Caenorhabditis elegans: one gene and its partner. The protein of the gene in region 2 interacts with the protein of the main gene of each other region in a pairwise test. Each region holds a gene or a part of one and is shown on either strand. Other genes may lie near its edges.

Evidence for each region.
Region 1: the proteins of serr-1 (region 2) and kvs-3 interact in a two-hybrid assay, tested with the Caenorhabditis elegans proteins (one large-scale study listed by BioGRID).

What each region holds. Positions count from the first base shown.
Region 1 is NC_003283.11:9,316,280-9,321,998, reverse strand, and holds kvs-3 (BTB domain-containing protein), read right to left. Parts: upstream 3,689-5,719; 5' UTR 3,687-3,688; coding exon 3,255-3,686; intron 3,211-3,254; coding exon 2,972-3,210; intron 2,925-2,971; coding exon 2,764-2,924; intron 2,716-2,763; coding exon 2,566-2,715; intron 2,346-2,565; coding exon 2,256-2,345; intron 1,402-2,255; coding exon 1,118-1,401; 3' UTR 652-1,117; downstream 1-651. Other genes in the region: F44A2.7 (N-acetyltransferase domain-containing protein), read right to left, coding at 127-193, 383-496.
Region 2 is NC_003279.8:8,570,876-8,575,417, forward strand, and holds serr-1 (Serine racemase), read right to left. Parts: upstream 2,875-4,542; 5' UTR 2,873-2,874; coding exon 2,648-2,872; intron 2,292-2,647; coding exon 2,125-2,291; intron 1,880-2,124; coding exon 1,795-1,879; intron 1,742-1,794; coding exon 1,612-1,741; intron 1,563-1,611; coding exon 1,393-1,562; intron 968-1,392; coding exon 917-967; intron 875-916; coding exon 749-874; 3' UTR 681-748; downstream 1-680. Other genes in the region: gon-2 (Transient receptor potential channel), read right to left, coding at 47-82; rskn-1 (Ribosomal protein S6 kinase), read right to left, coding at 3,398-3,470, 3,558-3,706, 3,938-4,297, 4,347-4,542.

The DNA of each region.
Region 1 (5,719 bases), on a different chromosome or scaffold from region 2:
TTATGGGAAAAGGAAGAGATAGTGGCGCGAGTGCTAAACGCTAAAGCTGACAACACTAAGATTGTGCATTAAATTTTAAAAAGCGAGCAGTCAGTTTTTTTTGATCGTAGAAGTTGGATAAATTACCTTTTTGTTGAATCATGACCATCCAGTGCTTGGAATAATTATTTTTCCATATGTCGTAGTCATTTTCCTAAAAGATCACATAAAGTGATTAAAGATTATTTTGTGATTTTCCTTGCATACTGTCCAAATTATAGTGAACGAAAATAAAATATTTTGTCGGTTAACAAAGTTTTTGAAAAGATTGAGGTGATAATAAAAATTTGGAACTGATGGGTGAAATAAGTTAGGCAAGTTATAAAGACATCTAAGTTCATACCTGAAATGCCCATCCTTCAGTAGTAGATACTAGATGCACAAACTCTTTGAATACATCATTTGGTGGATTGTAGGTCAAAATGAATTCATCGTCAATTATATCAACTTCTGTCATATTTATTTATCTGAAACTCAATTCGTAAGAAAACTTTGCGTACATGTTGAGAACAACGTCGGTGCAAAACTGGGAAGCGAAATGGAAGGGTCTCCTTATCGTTTTTCGCGACTTTTAGTCTGATGAAAAAAAAAAAAAAAAAAATTAATTACAAGTTTAGTATGATCGTTTTTATCAGTAAAAAAGGATGAAGAAACGGTACGGGGGTCGGTACAGATAATTTATTATTGTTTGAAAAATGTGAAAACGATGGAGTTCAGAAATTGAAGAAATCGGAAATCGAGTGGACATTAACCCAAAGGTACCTAACCAGAAAATGAGAAGAGATCTATGGAGATTCTAGAGTGGCAAGTTTTTGACACCAATAATAGGAATATCAGAAAAGGGTTCAATTTGCTTTGAATTTTAGAATAATTCGCACAATTTCAGCACTAATGAAATGTCCTAAAATTCAAATTCTCTGACAAACCTAAACAATTAATGAAAGAAATAAGGAACATTTTTGGAGACAAAAAACTGGGACAAAATCGAACCCGTTTGGTGTATATTTACAAATAAAAGGGGTAAATTAAAAACAAGAAGGAGAAAAATGATTGATAAGATAAATAATAATATTAACAATCAGAATCCAACATATCGTTTGCTCTTCTTTTTCACTGGTTGGGCAGCCGGTGCTCCATTATTCAATGGGTGTACAGTCCGATGCACAATCATGTGCCCTTGTTCTTCGTCTCCATCTCCACCGCTCCACCCTCCTGTCGATTCAGCAAATTTGTCGATTATCATTGAAATTGGGAATGCGAGCACAATGATTCCACACACTGAGGCCAAAGCAGCAACCACTTTTCCTCCAGCAGTTATAGGCACCAAATCACCATAGCCAACTGTGGTCATTGTTATGACACCTGAAAATAATTATATTAGTTTAAGAATAGGAAGCCCACGAGTAGTCATGGTACCGCATCTTGGTCTAACTTCTGGAATCCGTGGCACCACGTGTTTTTGCAAGATGGAAGTCACTACAGTTTTTTCAAATGAAGTATACAACAAAACGATTGTGAAGTCAAACTCACAAATCCACGTATTGGCACGGCTTTCAGAGGTTAAATCTAGATGAAAGCACTAACCGAACACTTCATAAACTTTTGAAATTTGCATTATTCTAGCAAAATTTCATTGTACTCTGCAGCCATAATCAAAATCCCATTAAAAAATTCACATAAAACAATTTCAGTCAAACTTTTGGTAAGTTACCAAAAATTTTGAGAAATTCGGCATTTTTGTGAAATGTACTGCAATTTTGCATTTTCGGATCTATATCATGTTTAGATACAAATAATCAAAAGATAAATATTTACCTATAAAATTTTTAAAATTGAATTTTGCAACTAAAAAAAAAAGAAAATAACATCAACACTTAAACTACATGTTTGGCATAATCTAAAATAGGAGTTGTATATTCATATTCAACTATAGTCATTTTTCCTAAATCCTTAAAATTTATTTTTGATGTTTCTGAAATGAGTTGCCCATCCGACGTAATTTCAAAATCAAGTAAAACAGTCTATCATACTAAATATATCATTTCACACTATGATTATCATAATATCTTATCTTTTGCAAAATAACAGTAAAGGTTTCAGACTTCAACCTTTTTATCAGTTTTAAAATTCAACGAAACACCAAGTATGTTTTCCATAATTTAGAAATTTCGAATAACATCGCTCCATTAATTGTTTGAAGTTTTCAAAGAACTTACACCACCAGCAGGCTGCTGGAATACTGTAGAACTTGGAGTTGGGCTCATCTCGCTCGAAGAAATAAATTGCAGTTGAGAACAGCATGATTCCTGTTAAATTTCAAGCATCAACATTTCATTCATTTTCACGGGTTAAAATTCATTTTCGTTTTTTCTGTTTTACAGTTTTCTAGCATACGAACAATAAAAAATTGACTCAGAGGAATTAGCTATAGCTGGATGTTCATATTTTTGGTATTAGCTGCAGCTTTACAACTTTGAAACAGTATAATTTCAACGGGAATATACTATGAAATTAAGGAAATATTACCTGTTACCAAAAACATTCCAAGCATACTGAGCTCTGCCGCAGACTTTTTCATTGTTTCTCCAAAGGCACGGAGACCAGTTGAGTACCTGGCGAGCTTGAAGATACGCGCTACACGGGCAAGTCTCATTACTCGAACCACAAGCATTGCACCTGTAATTTTTTTGGAATTTTAAGGGGCAAAATGTCATGATTATATACCTCTAAACTCTTTCATCCATTGCAATTCATTAAACGCTTCAATCATAAACGGCAACACAGTCAGCAAGTCAATAACGTTCAGTGGACTCCTAATAAATTCTGCTTTTTTCGGATTCACAAGGAGACGTGCAAGGTATTCAAATGTGAAGTACACCATACACCTGCAAACATTGTATTATAACTTCTGATATGTTCATACTAGACATACAATAATTCCAGCCAATGAAGGAGATAATGAGGTTCTTTATTTTCATCCTGCAGCTCTGGCATTGAGCTTAGGATTAGTCCGAGCAAGGAAAGAAGCACAAAAAGAGCTGATCCAACTGAGAATATTTTTGCACCAGAAGATGATCTCGGATTTTCCATTAATCTGTATAATTTTAGTCGTTGTGGTCCTAACACGACTTTATCAAAACATGAAGACGGTAATGAAGAATCAACAAATGCCTAAAATAAAAATAATTAACTTCAAATCATATATGGATACCTACTTTCTCAGTTGACATTTTCCCAGCTATATTGTTATTTTCTTCAAGAATACAGCATGGTGACATAAACGGCGTGGGAATTCTCCAATAGTCCAATTCATATCTCAATCGAATCGGACAAATATCCATTGGACGATGAAGTTTTCCAGTTACGTAGAAATCAATTACGTATTCAAAAATAATTGGCGATCTTTCAAAGTAGTACTCCGATGTGCTTTCAAAGAAGGCATCACAATCTGTCAGCCGTTCAACATGTGATTTTTCACAGAATACAGCAAGTCGTGATGTGGCAAGCCGTCTTATGATGATGTCCGAGTTGAGCCGAGCTCTACGTCCACCAACATTGACAAAAACAATGTCAGGAGGCCTAACAACTGATCCATTCGGTACAGGTCCTGCTACTGGTGACTCAATCAACGGGACCTCCTCATTCATTCCTGAAACTCCAAAATTTCCAGAATTGAAAAATAGATTTGGAGGTATGGGGAATTGAACCCCAGACTTCTCACATGCGAAGCGAGCGCTCTACCCCTGAGCTATACCCCCACGAAAAATTGCAATAAAAGTAACTGATAGAAAAGACAGAGACCTAGAGAGGCAAACATAATAGAGAAAAAGGCAGAGATGGCAGGCGAATGGCGCCAGTCTCTCCGGGGGCCAATCTGTGAGAGGGGCGCCAAGAAATTTCAAAATTTATGATTCTTGAAGGGGATTTTAAATTTTGAGTTAAAAAGGAGGCAGAAACTGGGTTGTAGGAATTGACGAATTTTCATGGACCAGCGAGCATTCGAATGGATGTTTCTGAACTTTGATATTTGGTGAAAAAGAAAAAAGTTTGATGATGTTTCATGAAAAAACAAAACACAGTCTCTTATTAAAATTGGAGTCCTATGTACCAATAAATATTGATCATTCGAATCAGACAAGTATCAAATCTCAGCTCTTGAGAAGCAGAAACTGGTGTATTTTTTATAGTTACAACTGAATGTTTCAGAAGTAATCTGCATAATATTATTGTTAGAAGTCTATTCCCAAGACAAAAACGTAGACTGGTCTCAGAAGAATCTTTCTGATCTATAGAAAAATCTGAAGTTTACAAGGTTATGTAAATTTGAACCAAGCGACAAAAAAACTTGCAGTGAACGATAACAGCGAAAGAAACTATTTTGATAAAATTACTATTCCTAGAAAATGTTTTTTTTATTTTTGGAATGCTTGAAACCAGGAAAACGCTACAAATACCAATGAAAAAAAACTGAAACAAATCTGCGCGTAGAATTTTTAAAAAATCCGCTTCAACCACTGTAAAGGCAATACATGTAACTTAACACATGAATTTTCAAGTTTTTGATGTATAATTTCAAAGGGATTTAAAAGAAAATATTCGAAAGAAAAAAATCCATTCGAAAAATTGATCACCTAAACTTTGAATTTGACGAACGTGAGCTTTGAGTATTCACTTGCAAAAACGAAGTTATGACGTGTCAGAATCTAAAATTGGTAAATAAAGTTCAGGAAGATGAATGAATGGGAGAAGAGAATTCTCAAAAAGCACGAATTCAAATATCTTAGCCTTGTGCTCTTCTTCTTATCCTTCAGAGGCGAAAATTGAGTTTCAAACATTCAGAAGATGGGGCAGGTGAAGAAGAAAGGAGACGAAGAAGAAGTTGTTGAAAAAGGCATACTCGAAAATAGAATTTCAAATCAAAAATGAGGCGCTTTTTGTTCGAACACTCAGGCGTCTGGGAATAAAAGAGTGAGATATCATCATGACGACTCACAATCACTCGTTATTATTCATTTGAAATAAATAGTCAAATAAATAGGAACATATGGGATTAACTCAACGATGAGGAAATTTTTTAATCTAAATTCCAGAACAATTGATGGGAAAGTTTTATAATATGTGCAGGCTGAATCACTTTAATAATTGGAAAATCCTTCTTCAAAATGTCTGAAAAAAATTCTGCGATGGAAATCCACTTTCAAAAAATGTTCACTATCAGAAGCAGACAGAACTCAAAAACACATATTTCAAATTTATTTGAAAAAAAGCGAATCATCGAAGTTCTTCACAAACATCGAGACTTTTCAAAACGAATTCTGGTTTCTAACGAGTAATCCTGTTAAAATTAAATTCTAGAAATTGAGAAAGAAGGATTTGAGAACGAAGAAAGGTACAATAAATTGAGTGAACGTGAGTTTCCATAAAATACAATTCTAGGTAATATACATAATATAAAGAGTTGTAGTAGGTAGACTTGTTATTTAAATTTTGTAGAACACAAGGCAGAAAATCTCTATTTGGAGGAGCTCGTGGGCGACAACAAAATAATAATTACTCACAATCTCAGAGACAATTCTCTATTGTATTAAAAACAGGAAAAACACGGATTTTCTTTAGGCTTCGACATTTGGCGCTAATTTGTTCCTAACTGTAATCTTGGACAAAAGATTGGCAAGACTAG
Region 2 (4,542 bases):
TATTTAGACGAAATCCCACCTTAAAAAATTTGCAAAACATACTTACCTCATCATTCTCGTCAAGCATATCGTCGCTCATCATTTTCGTTCGAAGATAACTAATGTCACATTGACAGATTCGATCTTTAAGAATCACAGAAAGTGGTTAGATAAAAAAGAAAAGAAAAAAGTACCGAAAATGAAAGTGGCAAGTCTTCTCTAAATTATTTTAAATATAGAAATAAAATTAATTTTTAAAAAAAATTCCAGTTTCTAGAAGAGTTGGGGTAATTAAGTTGATTCTCAGTAAAAATGAACAACAAATCCTAAAAACTTGGAGAAATTGATGAATTATCATTGTAAAACGCAAGAACTGTGATTTTCCTGCAGATGTTATCAATCACGCAGTCTGCGTCTTTTGAAGACTAATTGCAAGTTGGTGAAGAATAAACGATGATTGTACCCCTTACAGAAAGAGAGAGAAATAGACGCAGATATCACGACGATATGTTAATAAGGTAGTTGCCGCATGTTTGAGTTTCGAGAATACAAGTTATACACGAAGCAACTATTCACCTGAATTTTCTTGTTTGCAGAAAAGATGATAGCTTTGACCGTTTTTGAAACTTCCGCGAAACGAAAAAAACGTTTCCCTCGTTTACACTGTTTTATAGAAGAATGCAGTTCAAACTTCTCGTTTCACAATTTGGCTTTTTTTTATTTATCAGTTTAACAATTTCATCAAAAAATTTCAAAAAATTAATATTAATTAATTGATCACATAATTAGTATCAACATTTCCTCCGCATAGGATGACTAGTGGACGTTTGATGTGAGCCGGTTTGTGGTAGAGAACTCCTGCAAATGCAAGTGCTGCAGTTGGTTCAATTCGTTGCTGAAAATAAAGATTAAGCAATGTTAATTTTCTGAAAGTAACCTTCATTCTTGTCCATATGAGTTTCAATCCTTCTTTGATCTCGTCTTCCTTCTGTAAAATAGTTTGTAGATATCATATATATATATGCTTTCATCTCCTTGTCACGTGGTTTCTACTTCAAAACTCACAATATTTTGCAGTACATAGGGTCTTGAATAGAAGTAACTCTAGTACTTTAATATTTACTCATATGTCAAGTAACATTAATTAGGTTTTTGTTTAATAATTCTCAAAATAAGCCAAAACTGAAATTCCATTTAAGAAAATCGAAAAAGAAACACAATTTCAACATTTAGTAACCTGAATTTTGAACACTGACTAATTCCACCGTTTGAACAGCCTCCCAAACAAGAAGCCACGCCCACTTTCGAACCAATCAGTGTCTTCGAACTCCCTACACTTCACCTGATCAGCATTTAAATACAAAAGCCCCAATGCACGCTGATCCACTTTTAACCTTCATATATTACACTTACCACACTGATAACTTTTTGTGCACAATACTGTTTGAGTATTGGTTCACAAAGCGGTCCAACTCTTGCTACACGAACTCCATCAGCAATTGTATCCAATGTGTCAACCGGACACTTAATTCCATTTTCCAGAAAGTTCGAAAGTTCTTTCTGTGCTGGTTGCACAAGGTATACTATAAATGTAGATATAGTAAAAACAAGTGACAATGTGATTTGACAAACCTTCGATGTCTGGCCTCAAGTTGCCTATCAGAAAAGCAACAGATGAAGCTAAACCACCACCTCCAACAGATAAAAAAATGGAATCAATCTCATTGCCAACCTGTTCCAGGATTTCAAATGCAACTGATGACTGTGTGGAAAAAGAATATTATTTAGTTGTTTTATTAATTGAAAACAACTTACATGTCCGTTGATCATTGAAACACAATTATAAGGTTCTACACAATAATACTCAAGTTTTTCAGTCAAATCAGCACATACAGATTCTCTGGAAACTGTAATTTATTTGTGAAGTTAGGCTGATAAAGAATTAGATTTTTTGTAAAAACCGGAAAGATAAAAATCAACTTTTTAAAATGCAAATTCCTATATTTTTCCAGATTGATTTCATCTAAAATGGAAATTGTGAGTCCAATCAGCGTTTTTCTCCGCCCAGTCTCGAACCAATTAGATGAAATGGGAAACGCGTTTTAAAGTAAAATCCCTAGTTTCTTATAAAATTTCTAGGCTCACCGACTAGTAACAGTTGGCTCACAGAAAACAATATTCGCATTGTATTCTCTCATTCCTTCAATTTTAGAAATTGGAGCATTTTTTGGAACGACAATTGTACAAGGAAGTCCGATTTTTTGAGCAGCCCACGCTAGAGCTTGCCCGTGATTTCCAGACGAATGGGCAATCTAAAAATTGAAATTTTTGGACTAAAACGTTTTCTAATAAAGATTCACTTATTCAGTTACAAGATTTAGTAAAACTTTCACCTATCTTCATTTCGGAAATCGACCAAAAATTTATCTTCTACAGAGTTTATGAAATTATTTCTTTTCAATTTATTGTATATTAACATTCTAGGAATTCGAACTTGCAGCAATGCTCGATAAATCCACATTTTTGAAAAAATTGGCAGTTTTTCAAAACTTTGACTGAAAATTTTGGAAAATATCAAAAAGTTTAAAATTTATGGAGCAACATCTGGGAATCAGATTGTAAAATTGAAAAAATATTTTTGCTCATATGAATCAAAAAAAAAACTTACCATTCCTTTTGCATTTTTCTCTTTTGCCAAAATAGCAGAATTCAGTGCTCCTCTGGCTTTGAAACTTCCAGTTTTTTGTAAATGTTCACATTTGAATAGAACATGTGTTCCATTTCCAACTTTTTCATCAATATTTTCACTTGTTATAACAAGTGTTTTATGAAGAAATGGAGCAGTTCTTTGATAAGCTGCTCTCATTTCTTCCATTGTTATTTTTGTAGTCATGGCTGAAAATTGGAAATACGAAAATGAAAAAAAATTAAGTTCACCGAATCAGAAATCAAAAAGCTAACTATCTTATCTTATCAACCACTGTTTGACCAAAAACTATTGTGAACTGTACAAGCAATTTATTGATTTTCTCAATTTAAAACAAATTAAAGGGAGCATTAGAAATTTAAAACATTCACAAAATCTTATCTCTGCATATAAGAGAATATGAATAAATGAAGAATTAGAAGGAAATAAATGATTCAATGCAGAAAATCCCGTATTTGGCTGAAAATTCTTTTGGATGCGCAATTTTAATCACAACATAGGCGATAGAGGATTTGGAAGGGATGAGTGTGATGAGTAAATAAAGTTAGTTATTGTTTGGATGAAATGAATGTAATTATGGAGTCAATAAATAGTTATTTAAATTGGTGATTGGGCTTCAATGAGGAGCATTTGTTGAAACAATTGGATAAATGTTAGTAGTATTTAAAAAAGAAAAAAGTAAAATCCGTGCGTAAAAATGAATCGATGTATTTACAAGTCGTCTCGACGGTACATTTTGGTGAGCGGTTGGCAAGAATTTGACATTGATCGGTCGGTTCTGCAACTTTATGGAAGGTCAAAGTGAATTTATAAGATGGCTGGTCTGCGTTGTCACGATAAGAGCCAGCGACATTGAAGAAAAAAAACGCACCATGCATTTGCTGACACATTCTTCGTGTAGTTGGCGTAAAGAATCTCCTTCATTCGTCGTTTCGCAAGTGCAGACGATCCAACTGGACGAAGTTGAACACTTGGAGCCGATGCGATTGCTTTATATGTCTGCTCAAGTGCAACCTGAAACTGATTTCACAATTAATTAAAACATGGCGCTCCGAATCCTCTTATTAGAAAACGAAACCGTATTGTAACTATTATGTATCGATATTCAAAACGGTTGAATTTTTGAGGAAAATTTTTTCGGATTTTGGGCAGAATACCTTTTTTGTTTTTTTTTAAGTAAAAAATCTCGTTATGTTTGAATTTTTAAATTATAATCGTTTTTCATGTGATACAAAAAAACCATCCAATTACCTTGACATTTTGCATATCAAGCTCTCCAACTTGTTCTGATTGAATTGGCCGATCCGGAAGTGCTTCCTTTTGTCCGATCCACTTATGTTGCAATGCTTGTTTTGCTGTGACTCTTCTATTTGGATCGACATCTAACATCTTTCTTACAAGATCCTTTGCTTCATCGGAAATTGTGTCCCAAACTGGATGTGTCATTGAAATCTTTCCATCTCCAACACGTTGTAATATCTGATCAGGTGTATCATTTGGACCCATCGCGAACGGAGTGCAGCCGGTGAGCATTGTGTGAAGTAGAACTCCAAGGGACCAGACATCACAAGAACGATCGTATCCTTGTTTGCGAAGAACTTCCGGAGCCACCTAGAATTTTAAACTGTCTAAGAACTGCATATAAATCTTATAAACTTACAAATTGAGCAGTGTAACATGGAGTCATGAGCATTCCATTTTCTGCTCTCGATTGCTTGGCAAACCCAAAATCAACAATTCTCAACGAACTTGGATCTCCGTCCTTTAAAGCGAAAAGAATATTTGCAGCTGTCAGATCACGATGAGCAACTTGTTGGGAGTGCAGATATTGAACTGCGTTCAAAAGATTTGCCATA